3 linked regions of the Callithrix jacchus genome follow. The protein of the gene in region 1 binds, or shares a complex with, the protein of each later gene. Links are inferred from orthologs where the notes say so. Each region holds a gene or a part of one and is shown on either strand. Other genes may lie near its edges. The genes, in order: SMARCC2, SMARCD3 and ARID2.

Evidence for each region.
Region 2: SMARCC2 (region 1) and SMARCD3 share a complex: the UniProt entries of both Homo sapiens proteins name them as parts of the BAF complex. The link is inferred for Callithrix jacchus from reciprocal best matches to the Homo sapiens genes SMARCC2 and SMARCD3.
Region 3: SMARCC2 (region 1) and ARID2 share a complex: the UniProt entries of both Homo sapiens proteins name them as parts of the SWI/SNF-B (PBAF) chromatin remodeling complex. The link is inferred for Callithrix jacchus from reciprocal best matches to the Homo sapiens genes SMARCC2 and ARID2.

The regions. Positions count from the first base shown.
Region 1 is NC_133510.1:63,481,716-63,485,359, reverse strand, and holds part of SMARCC2 (SWI/SNF complex subunit SMARCC2), read right to left. Parts: coding exon 3,599-3,644; intron 3,361-3,598; coding exon 3,291-3,360; intron 1,524-3,290; coding exon 1,448-1,523; intron 1,294-1,447; coding exon 1,162-1,293; intron 1,057-1,161; coding exon 941-1,056; intron 560-940; coding exon 435-559; intron 1-434. UniProt on the Homo sapiens protein: Involved in transcriptional activation and repression of select genes by chromatin remodeling (alteration of DNA-nucleosome topology).
Region 2 is NC_133512.1:96,964,350-96,968,093, reverse strand, and holds the start of SMARCD3 (SWI/SNF-related matrix-associated actin-dependent regulator of chromatin subfamily D member 3), read right to left. Parts: upstream 2,644-3,744; 5' UTR 2,233-2,643; coding exon 2,155-2,232; intron 1-2,154. Other genes in the region: uncharacterized protein LOC144578411, read left to right, coding at 3,007-3,123. UniProt on the Homo sapiens protein: Involved in transcriptional activation and repression of select genes by chromatin remodeling (alteration of DNA-nucleosome topology).
Region 3 is NC_133510.1:29,645,228-29,648,971, forward strand, and holds the start of ARID2 (AT-rich interactive domain-containing protein 2), read right to left. Parts: upstream 2,798-3,744; 5' UTR 2,670-2,797; coding exon 2,578-2,669; intron 2,463-2,577; coding exon 2,369-2,462; intron 2,201-2,368; exon of another isoform or gene 1,398-2,200; intron 1,301-1,397; coding exon 1,203-1,300; intron 1-1,202. UniProt on the Homo sapiens protein: Involved in transcriptional activation and repression of select genes by chromatin remodeling (alteration of DNA-nucleosome topology). Required for the stability of the SWI/SNF chromatin remodeling complex SWI/SNF-B (PBAF).

The sequences.
Region 1 (3,644 bases):
TTATAGGCATCCACCATCATGCCTGGCTAATTTTTGTATTTTTAGTAGAGATGGGGTTTTACTATGTTGGCCAGGCTGGTCTTGAACTCCTGACCTCAGGTGATCCACCCACCTCGGCCTCCCAAAGTGCTGGGATTACAGGTGTAAGCCACCATGCCTGGCCATGCTCAAATGTATTTTACTATCGAAAGCACATAATCGGAGTTTGGAGACAACTACTACCAGGCACAAAGCACAGTCCACAACCCAGATATGGATATAAACTTAGAGGATTTTCCATGGTAACAAATATAATTCTAATAACCAACTAAATTTAAGGAAAAGATCCTGTAGACTGTGAGGCAGACCTGAGAAATCAGCTCACTCAGGGTTTAGCAAAGGAGAGTCAGGACAGGGAGTGGGGCTGGATCCCAGGAGCTCAGCCTGTCCTGTACCTGTTTTGGGAAGTGTCACCTCTTCTACATTGGGGACTGGTGAGGGCTCGTCCATGTCCTTTGTCAGGTCTTCTTGCTCCTCTTCTCTGTGACCACGCTTTGACTTAGTGTAAGGTGTTGAGGGACTGGGAAGGAAAGACAGTGAAAGAGAACCCAGTCATCCTTGGACAAGAGTCCCTGGCAGTTGAAGTTCAAGGGAAGGGAAGTGACAGAGAATCCCAAGGGTAGAGTTGAGTACAAACAGAAACCAGTAATTACAGAGTAATGGGAAATGGCAAAGGCTTTTCATTTGATAAAGCTCTCTTTAAGTTTATGAGTGGGGCCAGGACCAGAACTAACAACTATGCAGCTAAAAATCTCCTCATCTTCCCTCTCAGGACACCTGTAGTATTATAAGGCACACCCAGGTCAGGGCCAGGTGGTTAAAGGAAGGGATTTGGCTTTCCTTCCTTCAACATGATACGGAGAGAATGGTGAACTCAGGGGCAGGCTAGGGGCTGGCACACCCTTTCTTAGCATTTTTCTTCTTTGCTTCTGGGGTTGGTGAAGGAGAGGGGGAGCGCTTCCTCTTCTTATAGTTTCCCCCCTTCTTGTCCCGTCGATCTGAATCTGGGCTGTTCACCTATAGGATGGAGAATCAGGACAAATGTCAGCATACAATCCCCAGTGAAGACTTTTTCTGAGACTTATGCTAAGGGCGCCTGGAAAAAAGAACAGGGTTTGTCACCTCATCTGTCAATGTCTTGGCTGAAATCTTCTTTCGGCGGGAGACAGGGTTTTTGTCATCATTTACTTCATAGTCTTCCTCATTCATCCATTCATTGAAGGTGTCAGTGTCCAGGATCCACTTTGCATGAACCTAAAGTACGAAGGCAGATCATGCCGCAGAGAAGCTCTGTCTGCGGAACCTTAACAGAAAAAGTCCAAGGACACAGGAGCCTCTGTTTCACTTCCAAAGAGTAGACTGGTCCTGGCATTCTTTTTTGGGAAGCGGGGGTACAAGAAAAACTCACCTTCCTAGGTTTCTCAGGAGTTGGAGCATCTTCCACAGATGCTTCAATTTCACTCGCTGGGATCCATGTGTCATAACTGCCGTGGGAAATTGGGCATACAGTAGAATCAATGAGATGGAGTTGTGGAAAAGTAAAGTGCAGATCTTTTACCCTTTTAATTTGCAGAAAGTATTGGGTTGTTGGCTTATTTTTTTGGTATTCTATTCATATAAAGTAATAAAAGCCCATTACAAAACACTTCAAAAATAGAGAATGAAAAGAATCGCCCTTACATAACTACTCTTGACACTTGTATATATATTTTTCACAGTAATTTTTTTTTTTTTTTTTTTGAGATGGAGTCTCGCTGTCACTCTGTTGCCCAGGCTGGAGTGCAATGGGGTGATCTCAGATCACTGCAACCCCTGCCTCCTGTCTTCAAGCAATTCTCCTGCCTCAGCCTCCTGAGTAGCTGGGATTACAGGTACCCACCACTGTGCCCAACTAATTTCTGTATTTTTAGAAGAGAAGGGGTTTCACCATCTTGGCCTGGCTAGTCTCAAACTCTTCCACCCGCCTCAGCCTCCCAAACTGCTGGGATTACAGGCATGAGCCACCACGCTGGGCCGGAGTTTTTGTTTTTGTTGAGACAGGGTCTCACTTTGTTGTCTAGGCTGGTCTTGAACTTCTGGCCTTTAGTGATCCCCCTGCCTTGCCCTCCCAAACTGCTAGGATTACAGAGTGAGCTACTGTGCCTGGTCCACAATTTTGTTTTTACATAGTTATAATCACATTGATGATATTTTACATGCTACTTTTTTTTTTTTTTTTTTTGAGACAGGGTCTTGCTCTGTTACCCAGGCTGAAGTGCAGTGGTGCAATCATGGCTCAACGCAGACTCAACTTCCTGGGCTCAAGCAATCTTCCAGCCTCAGCCCCCCCAAAAAGTTAGGACTACAAGTGCATGCCACCACACCCAGCTAATTTCTGTATTTTTTTTTTTGGAAACACAAGAATTTTGCCCAGATTGGTGTCAAACTCCTGGATTTAAACAACCTGCCTGCCGCAGCCTCCCCAAGTGCTGGGATTATAGACGTGAGCCACGGCACCCATCCTACATATTAGAGGGATGAGCCATGGCACCCAGCCTACATGTTTTGTTTTGTTTTGTTGAGACAGAGTCTTGCTCTGTCACCCAGGCTGGAGTGCAGTGGCGAGATCTCAGCTCACTGCAACCTCCCCTGCTCAGGTTCAACTGATTGAAGTGATTCTCCTGCCTCAGCCTCCCAAGTAGCTGGAGCTACAGGGACGCGCCATCACACCTGCCTAATTGTTTTTTTTTTGGTGTTGCTGTATTTTCAGTACAGATGGGGTTTCACCATGTTGCCCAGCCTGGTCTTGAACTCCTGACTTCAGGTGATCTGCCTGCCTCGGCCTCTCAACATGCTGGGACTACAGGTGTGAGACACCACGCCAGGCCTACATGCTACTTTTTGCAATGAATAATAACATTCACCTATAAATTATCCATGTTATTTCATATCACTTTAAAGGTTGCATAATAGCCCACTGAGTAGATATACAAATTTACTGAAACATTTTCCTACTGTTAGACATTTAGACTATTTCTAAGATTTACACTGGGATAATCATTTCATACAAAAAGCCTCAATCCTTTTAGGCTAAGCCTTGTCCAATAAGTCCAAACCTCCCCCAAGACAGAGGTTCACTTAATAGGGGAGAGGAGAACCAATTAAGTGACCTAAAAATAACTCTGAAAGAGTGGCTTCTTGCTTTGCTAGATATTCTAGGGCTTCTGGGTCTGGCTCTTATACTTAAACCTGCTCCAGGAACCCATCCTCACCTGTCAGGATAGTAGCCCCAGTGCAGAAGAACCTGCTTATCCCTCTTCATGACTGGTCGTACCCATTCCTCTGGGGATAGAGGCAGAGAAGGGAGAGAGATAAGCTAAAGAGGGACACAAAAAAATACTGTACATAAGCCCTAACTAAAGTGCTCTGCTGTTGTAGCAAGGGACTTGGTAACAGGAACTTAAGGAGGTAGGAGGATTCAAGATTGAAAGAGGAGCCCAGATACTGAATGGTAATCTTAGTCCTCTGCCTCCTACTCCAAGCCATCCATTCAAATTGCCAGAAAAAAACCAGGTCTCACCTTCTTCTAGATTCCCCGGGACAGGATACACAACATGGGAGGCATT
Region 2 (3,744 bases), on another chromosome or scaffold:
CCCTGCTTTTGACCCTTGGGTCCCAAACCCCACTCTCCTCGGCTGGCTCCAAGTCTCCACACCCGGGATCTTCGCTGATGAAGCTGCCCCCATATTTGCTCCCAGAGTGAGGGCTGGAGGCAGGCAAGGGCAACCTGCTGGGGTGTCCCAGACCCCGCCAGGATTCCGATTGGGAGGACGGAAGCTGAGTTAGAGGTGGGCTGCCCAGGGGCCCTGGGGTAGGTCAGGGCAGTGACATTTCCATTCACATTTCCCTTCCTGTCTGCCCAGGTCAGCAGCCCCCTCCTCCTCTTCCTACCCCCACCCCAGCCAGGTCAGGAGTCAGGGTTCAGAGGGGGCTGTGGAGACTGAGAGGAGGCAGCTCCTCCTCCCTTGCCACTACCCCTGGGTGGTCAGATGGGGTGTAAATGAGATGCAAATGCATCCAGTGAAGTGTTCCAAACCCCACTTGTCCAGACTCCAGAAGGGAGATGGGGAGGGCCATAGAGAGTTTTTCGGGGCTGTGAAACAGAACGAGTGGGGTGGGATGGGGACGGGGACCTCGGGAACAGGAAATAGATAAGGGAGCAGGGGATGCAGACCCTGAGCCTGTTAACACCGACACACCACCCACCTCACCCCCAGGTGCGAAGAGGGCCCACCGCCCCCCAGCTTGCTGTTTCCCTTCCAACTGCCACCTCCCTCCTGGCCCTCCAGGCTCTGTGTCTAGCCCTAATGTCCTCCCACCTCCGTCAGCAGCTGTCTCTGCCTGTCTCTCCTGCAGTGAAACCTGCCTGTCCATGTGTCTGCTTCCCTTACCCCACCTGACCCTGTCACTCACGCCTTCAGGGTAGCAGCCCAGAATGGAGCCAGACCGGGCCGCCAGCATAGGTGGGGCACTGGGGCTCACAGCCACCCAAGAACTGAAGCTCTAAGTTGACCAGATGAAAAAAAAGTTCACGTGTACAGCCTCTCTCCCCACTAGATGGGCCATTTTAAAGAGGCTCCCACCAGCAGCCAGGTTAGGACTGGTAACGCAGCTGGCTGACATGGACACCTTGGGAAGTTACACCCAGGGGTCCCTGGGGCTGGAGGCCCCTCTCCCTGTCAGCTGCTCTCCCCAGTTATCAAGGCCAGGGACACTGGCTCATGTGCTGAAGAGGCCTTGAGAGGGAGGCTTCCAGAGCCCCCGAGAGCTGTCCCAGCCACCAGCTCCACCCCCACGAAAGGCCAAAATCCTAGGGACTCTGGCCTTACTGAGAAGGTGCCTTCCTTGAGGTCACAACCAAATTTGGCCATAGTAAACCCAACTGCTTCCTCTACATAGGGCCTCCACCCCCTCATCCATCCCAAGAGCCGCAGCCCCTGCCTCTCCCATTCCACACCCCTCCATACCCCTCCCAGTGGGGCCTACTGACTCAGCTGCAGCCTCCTGGGCTCCCACGTGCCTTTGCAGCCTGCCTGTGGCAGGACAGTACTCCCCTAACCCTTCAGTCTCTAGGCCTCACGTCCCCAATTCCAGCCCTTCCTTCACACCTTCCAGGAGTTTAGGACATCAGCTTCTGGTGGCTGAGCCGCCAAGGGGACCCTCAGAGTCCGTAACTTGGGGTAAGTCCCTAGAGCAGGCCTCTCCCCCACCCCGAGGCAGAAGCTCCAGAGCCCTCCCGCTGGGATGCAGAAGTCGCTCAGCCTGCGAGCTTCCCGCGACAGTGCCTCCAGGGTCACCTGCTCCTTGCTCTGGAGACACAAGCAGTGACACTGTCCCAACGGATGAAGAGACAGCCCAGCCCAGACTCTGCCATATCCCCATCCCCCACCCCCTCCCCGAGGGCAGGGGCAACACCTGGGCCCACAAGGAAAAGAACGGAAGTCAACCTGTCCACTACAGCGAGGACCCCCCACTTGGGGGGGGAGAGTCCCCAAGTCCCACCCCCACCCCTGACAAGAGCCATGTAAACGCCTCCCTTCCCCGCCTCGCGCCAGACCCGGCCGGCCGCCTGGCGACGTGTTCAGGTGCCAGGGCGCCGGCACGGTCCCGGGGCCGGGCCGTGGGCCGTGGCGCCCCCCGCTAGAGGGGTGGGAGAGCGGGAGCGCCCTCCCGGCCCCTCCCGATCAGCCCTCCATTCAGCCCGAGCCAGCTCACTCGCCCTCCCCCGCTAACTTTCCCCCACTCACCACCCCATGGACCAGAAACTCAAAAAGTTTGCTTTTCGTGGCTTTGCGCGCCCCTCCGGCAACTTCGTCCGCGGCCATCGGGGTGGGCTCAGCGGCTCCTCTCACTCTCTCTCTCTCTTCCTCTTTCTTTCCCTTTTCTGCCTTTTTTTTTCCTCCAACTCTCCCCTCTGAGTCCTGCTGGGCTCTCTCACACTTCTACTCGAGCGGAGTGGGGAGGGGGCCCCTTCAGGGCTGCCCTGACGGCCCACGGCCCACGCCGCCGCCGCCCGCCCGCCGCCGCCGCCGCGGCTGCCGCATTCCTGCACTGATAAGCCAGAAATAGTCCGGCGGCCCGGGGTCTGCCTGTTGACTCGGCGGGGACGGGGCCGCCTGCCTTTCCAAGCCCGCTGTCCAAACAGCGCAGATAAGCGGCGAGGCGCGCCGACCAGCCCGGCGGCGGGCGCTGGGCAGCGGCGCTGCAGCCCGAGGCCGCCGAGGGCCGCGGGAGGCGGCGCGGGGAGGGGACGCCAGGGGAGGCGGCGGGGGGTCGCCGGCCACCGGCTCTCGCCACAAATAGTTTCTCCGTCAGGGAATTCGCCGGCCGCGCCAGGCCGGGAACAGTCAGTTCCAACTTTCCCCCCAGCGGCTCCTGCTGCATTTCTGAGGCCCTTTCCCCAGAGACCTGGCAGGCCGAGCCGGGAAACACGGGCTAGCAGGAGCCGGGGAGCCCGGCAGCGAGGCCTCGCGCCTGCCCTGGGCCGGCGGCGGTGGGTGTGCCCGGGCGGCGGCGTGGCCCTGCGTCCACGGCTGTGTGTGCCCTTGTCTCGCACGCAGTGTGTGTCCGCGCCCTTTTGTGGCGTGGCTGCTCTGTGCATGCAGACAGACGCCCTGTCTGTGTGCTTCCCTCCACGACAGCCTCCGTGCGCGCGCGCCTGCGTGTGTGGCAGGACGTGGCCTGTGCCTTTCAGCTCTGTGCGAGGCTATTTCTGGGTATGTGAGTCTTTGTTTGTCGCTCTGTGAGAAAGTGAGGGCAACAGGGGAAGTATTTCGGAAAGAAGGACAGGGATTGTGCTCATGAGAACAGGAAGAGAACGAATGTGGGGAATGGCGCGGCGCCAGGGGGGTGCTGGGGTGGGTGCGTGGAGGGAACGAGGGAAGCCCGGCTTGGTTTCCTTGGGATGGGGGTGGACCCAGAAGAGTTGGGGCAGCTGGGCTGGGTATGGTGGGCCTGCCTCAATACCCCAGAGAGAGGAGTCTTGAAGCTGTGGTGTGGGGTGGGATGGCGAGGGAGCCCCAGAAGGGGCGTGTGGAAGGAGCTGGCAGTCCCTGGAGTGGAGGAGGGACCAGAAGGAGGAGGGGCAAATCCTGACATCCCCAGGCTGGGAGCCCTGGCCCTCCCGAGTCCCCCAAAGGCCACGCCCCTCTTTCCTCCTTCTGGGGGAGGAGCCTGTGGGCTTTGGGACATGGAGCCGTGGGCTCACTGCGAGAATCCAGGAGAGGGCAGGGCCATGCCTAGTGCCTAGGGGAGTTTGGTGAAACACTTATTTGAAGTTGGGCCCTGAAGACTGACAAGTCCTGACCCTAAACCCTTCAGAACGCCTTTGCCCAGGG
Region 3 (3,744 bases), about 34 Mb from region 1:
ATTTTAAAATGTGCTCTGACACAAATGCCATCACACGCAATAGATGACAACGAACCATATTTAATATTTTCTAGACTTCCTGTGTAACTCAATAACTACACAATAACTACTCCACAAAGTTCTGTGAACTCCAGCTTCAAGCCTGAAGTCAATCTAAGATAGCCAATAGAAAGTACACCTGTGCAATTATTGCATTTCCTGTTTCAGAATGTTGAATGTAACACATGATAACTGAATGCATCTGAAACAGTAATAAATGCAAAACTCAAATTATGCAGAAGCCACATTACAAAAGGCCTCTATTATCACTATAAAAAGCAATAAATACAAAAAATATCATTTTAGTTTTAAATAATACCAACTAACTTAGAATCCTCTAAAGTAAACATTAAAAATAATGCACAGCCTCATGATAAATTATATGAAAGGATTCCTAGAAGAAAAACTAGAAGCAAAAAAATAACGCTAAATCACAAAATATATCATCTAAACTGTATCGCATACCAACAGAATAAGAACTTTGTCAAATAAGCAGTCAAAAAAAAGAAAGAGGGAGAATGAAAGAAAATCCAAAGTATAGTATCCCACTTCATAGCATCCCCATTTTCCTAGAGATATAATAATCATTTTGAACGTTTTTAAGTCACTGGAAATTCAACAAAAAGTAATTCTCAAAACAATCCTGGTCACCTAAGGCACCAACATGTTATGCCATGCATTCATATTCTACTGAAAAACCTATTCAATGTCACTGTTCCAAACAAGAAGTTTCATTTAAAAAATAAAATCTGAAAGTCAGAATTTTTTAAACCAAAGAAGTTTCCAAAACAAAGAAAAAAAAATTTTCCCAAAGATTACAGTTTCATTAACTATCTTAACTCTTTTACTAAGCATCACCTTTCTTCCATTCAGTGGATATCAAGCGATCAATAACAATGTCACAAAAGAATGTTTACCAAGATGGGGGGTGGGGTGTCACCTGTAATGATTTTGTATGAAAAACGTAAACGATCCTAAAATTGGTAAGAAAAACTTGCACCTTCCTACAATCTCACTTTATTTATATTAAATGTGTCTTAGTCTAAAATGAACAAGAGCTTAGAACTGTTTGGTGTGCAAGGTTTGCTTTTGTTTTTGCCAAAAACAAATCTCTCCATAAGTCCCTTATTTCCAAATACTATGGAAAAGTCACTACTACTCACCGCAAGTAATACTGTTTTAAAGCAAAGGCAGCGTTAGAACAACTTCTGGGAAAGTTGAACTCTTCAACAATTTCTCCCCACTGATTCTTCTCAGAGACCTGGTAAAACACAGGCACACTTGTCTGAAAGTGAACAATCTAAAAAAACCTTTACCTAACTGAAATAAATACCCATTCTACAGAGATCTGTAGATACCTAAGGCATCAATGGTTGTTTCTGATCGATCGGTAAGGTAAGAGTTACTAAGCAAGCAAGGGCGTCTTGAATCACTGTTTTCACCAGACAGCCCTGTATTTAATACCACTTGTTTTGTTTGGGGGGGATTGGTGGGTTTGTTTTGTTTTTGAAGCCGGGACAATAACCAATCGCAAGTCCCTCTGTCGCCCCCTTTTAAATCTCAACGCGGTCCGTTTACACTTAAAAAAAAAAAAAAAAAAAGTTCAAAAGGATCAATACAGTTCCGGACAGCGACGTCCGCGGGTTCTGGGGGGGCCGGGGCCGGGGCCGATTCCGATCCCTCTCCCAGATCTATCCATCTCCATAGGCCCTTCTTTGAGGCCTACAGCTTCTGCCTAGCCTTGAAGCCTAAGATGGCTATTTGGAGACAGGTCCTGGTTTCTTTTGTTAGCTGTATAAACCGAGGGCGACGGGGCCGAGGCTGTGCCCCCGGCTGCCAGGATCATTTCGCAGCCGATTATCGATGTTAAACCTGCCCGCGCTAATTTTGAGTTGCACGAAAACTGCTCTGAGTCTGTGTGTCTCTGTGTCTCAGCCTGTGCTAGAGCGGCAGCGGCGGCAGAGCTGACGAGCGAGCGAGCGAACAAGCGAGCGGGCGGTGCGGGCGCGGGGCTCCGGCTGGCGCCCCGCACGCCCGCACTCTCCGCCGCGGCGCTCAGACCCCGCCGGCCCAACTGGGCACCGGGCAGGGCGCTAGCCGGCGCCGGGCCGCCAGCCCGCGGGAGCCCCGCGCCCGCCGCGCGCACGCGAGCCACCAGGCCAAAAACAGCCCCGCCGCCGTCCGCCTCCGTGCCACCGGCTGGGAGCGAAAAGAACGCCTTTTGCCCCCGCGGGCCACCCCCCCAGCCCCAAGCGCCCACTCTGGGGTCAAAGGAGACTTTTTGGAGGAGGCCAGTGAGAGGGAAATACAAATTAAAACTTCCACTCACCTTCGCGAATCCGCCTAAAGTAGTGACTCTGGTGTAGAGACCGTGAAGATCCAGCTCCTTCCCACCCACCGCAGGGATTTTTTTAAAAGGCGACCTGCGGGAGAGAGAAAGACCCGCACTTGTCAGCCGGGACCCCGCGCCCGGCCCGGGCGGGAGAGCCCCGTTCGCCCCGGCTCGCCCCGGCGTTGCCCCCCCGGTTCTGCTCTCACCCTCTGCTGTGGTGGAACTGCCGCAGCTCGTCCAGGAAAGCGAGTCCCTTTCTCCGCTCGTCCGGAGGCGCCTTCCCCGTCGAGTTTGCCATTATTTTTTCAAAGGAGGTTTTTTAAAAACCCAGATCGGTGTTTTAAAAGCGCCCCCCGCTCCCAGCGCTTCCTACCAGAGCCCGGAGCCCATTCCTCGGCCGGCGGCGGCGGGGCTCAGTCACGGGCCGGCGGTGGCGGCGGCGGCGGCGGCGGCGGCGGCGGCGGCGGCGGCGCAGGGAGGGAGGGCGGGAGGGGGAGGAGGAGGAGGAGGAGGGGAAGGAGGGAGCAGGAGGCCAGGGGGAGAGGAGGGAACGAGGGAGGGGAATTTCTAAAAAAGTTTAAAGAAATCGGAGCGAAACTAGAGGGGCAGGCGACTGCCGGATCCGCGCGAAGCCGCGGGGCGAGCGCGGCCCCCACCCCTTCCTTCCCTCCCTCCCTCCCCGCGGCCCGGCTCTCGCCCGCCTCTCAGCGCCGCCGGCTGAGGTGGCTTGGCCCGGGTACGCGATTCAACATGGTGCTGCTGCCGGGGGCGCGCGAGCGGGCGAGGGGCAAGGCGAGCCAACGGTGAGGGGTCGGGGCGGCCGGAGGCCCTAGAGTTTCGGCGGCGGCGGCGACAGCGGCCGGCCTGGGGCAGGCGGGGCTGGGGGTGGGGAGGGGGAGGTCTGTGTGGTTTGTAGAAAGCGGGGTGACAGCGTGTATTTCGGCCCAGGCTCCGCGGAGCCCTCGCACACATTCACGCGCGGCCTCGGCCGCTGAGGCCGGGGCGTCCCCGGGCAGAAGCACCGGCGGCAGCTGAGCCGCTGCGCGCCGCCCGCCGCCCGCCTGCTTCCCTCCTCGTCAGCCTCGGTCTCTGCCGCCGCCAGCGCCGCCGCCACGGCCGGGCAGCTAGTGCCGCACAGCGACCCCCAAAGGCCGGCCGCGGCACTGCGCCTGGCTCCACACCGCCCCGGCAGCTCCTCGCGGGGAACAATAGACTCGGCTCGCCGAGCTTAGGGTTCGTCTGCAATGTGCCGCACATTTCACACGCACACAAAGCCGGCGGAAAGGGGGGCGGCGCGGGGGAACGGCCACTACCGGTTGTTCCAGGGTTAGGGGTGGAGGCGATGTTCGCGTCCCTGGCCCGGCTGTCGGAAG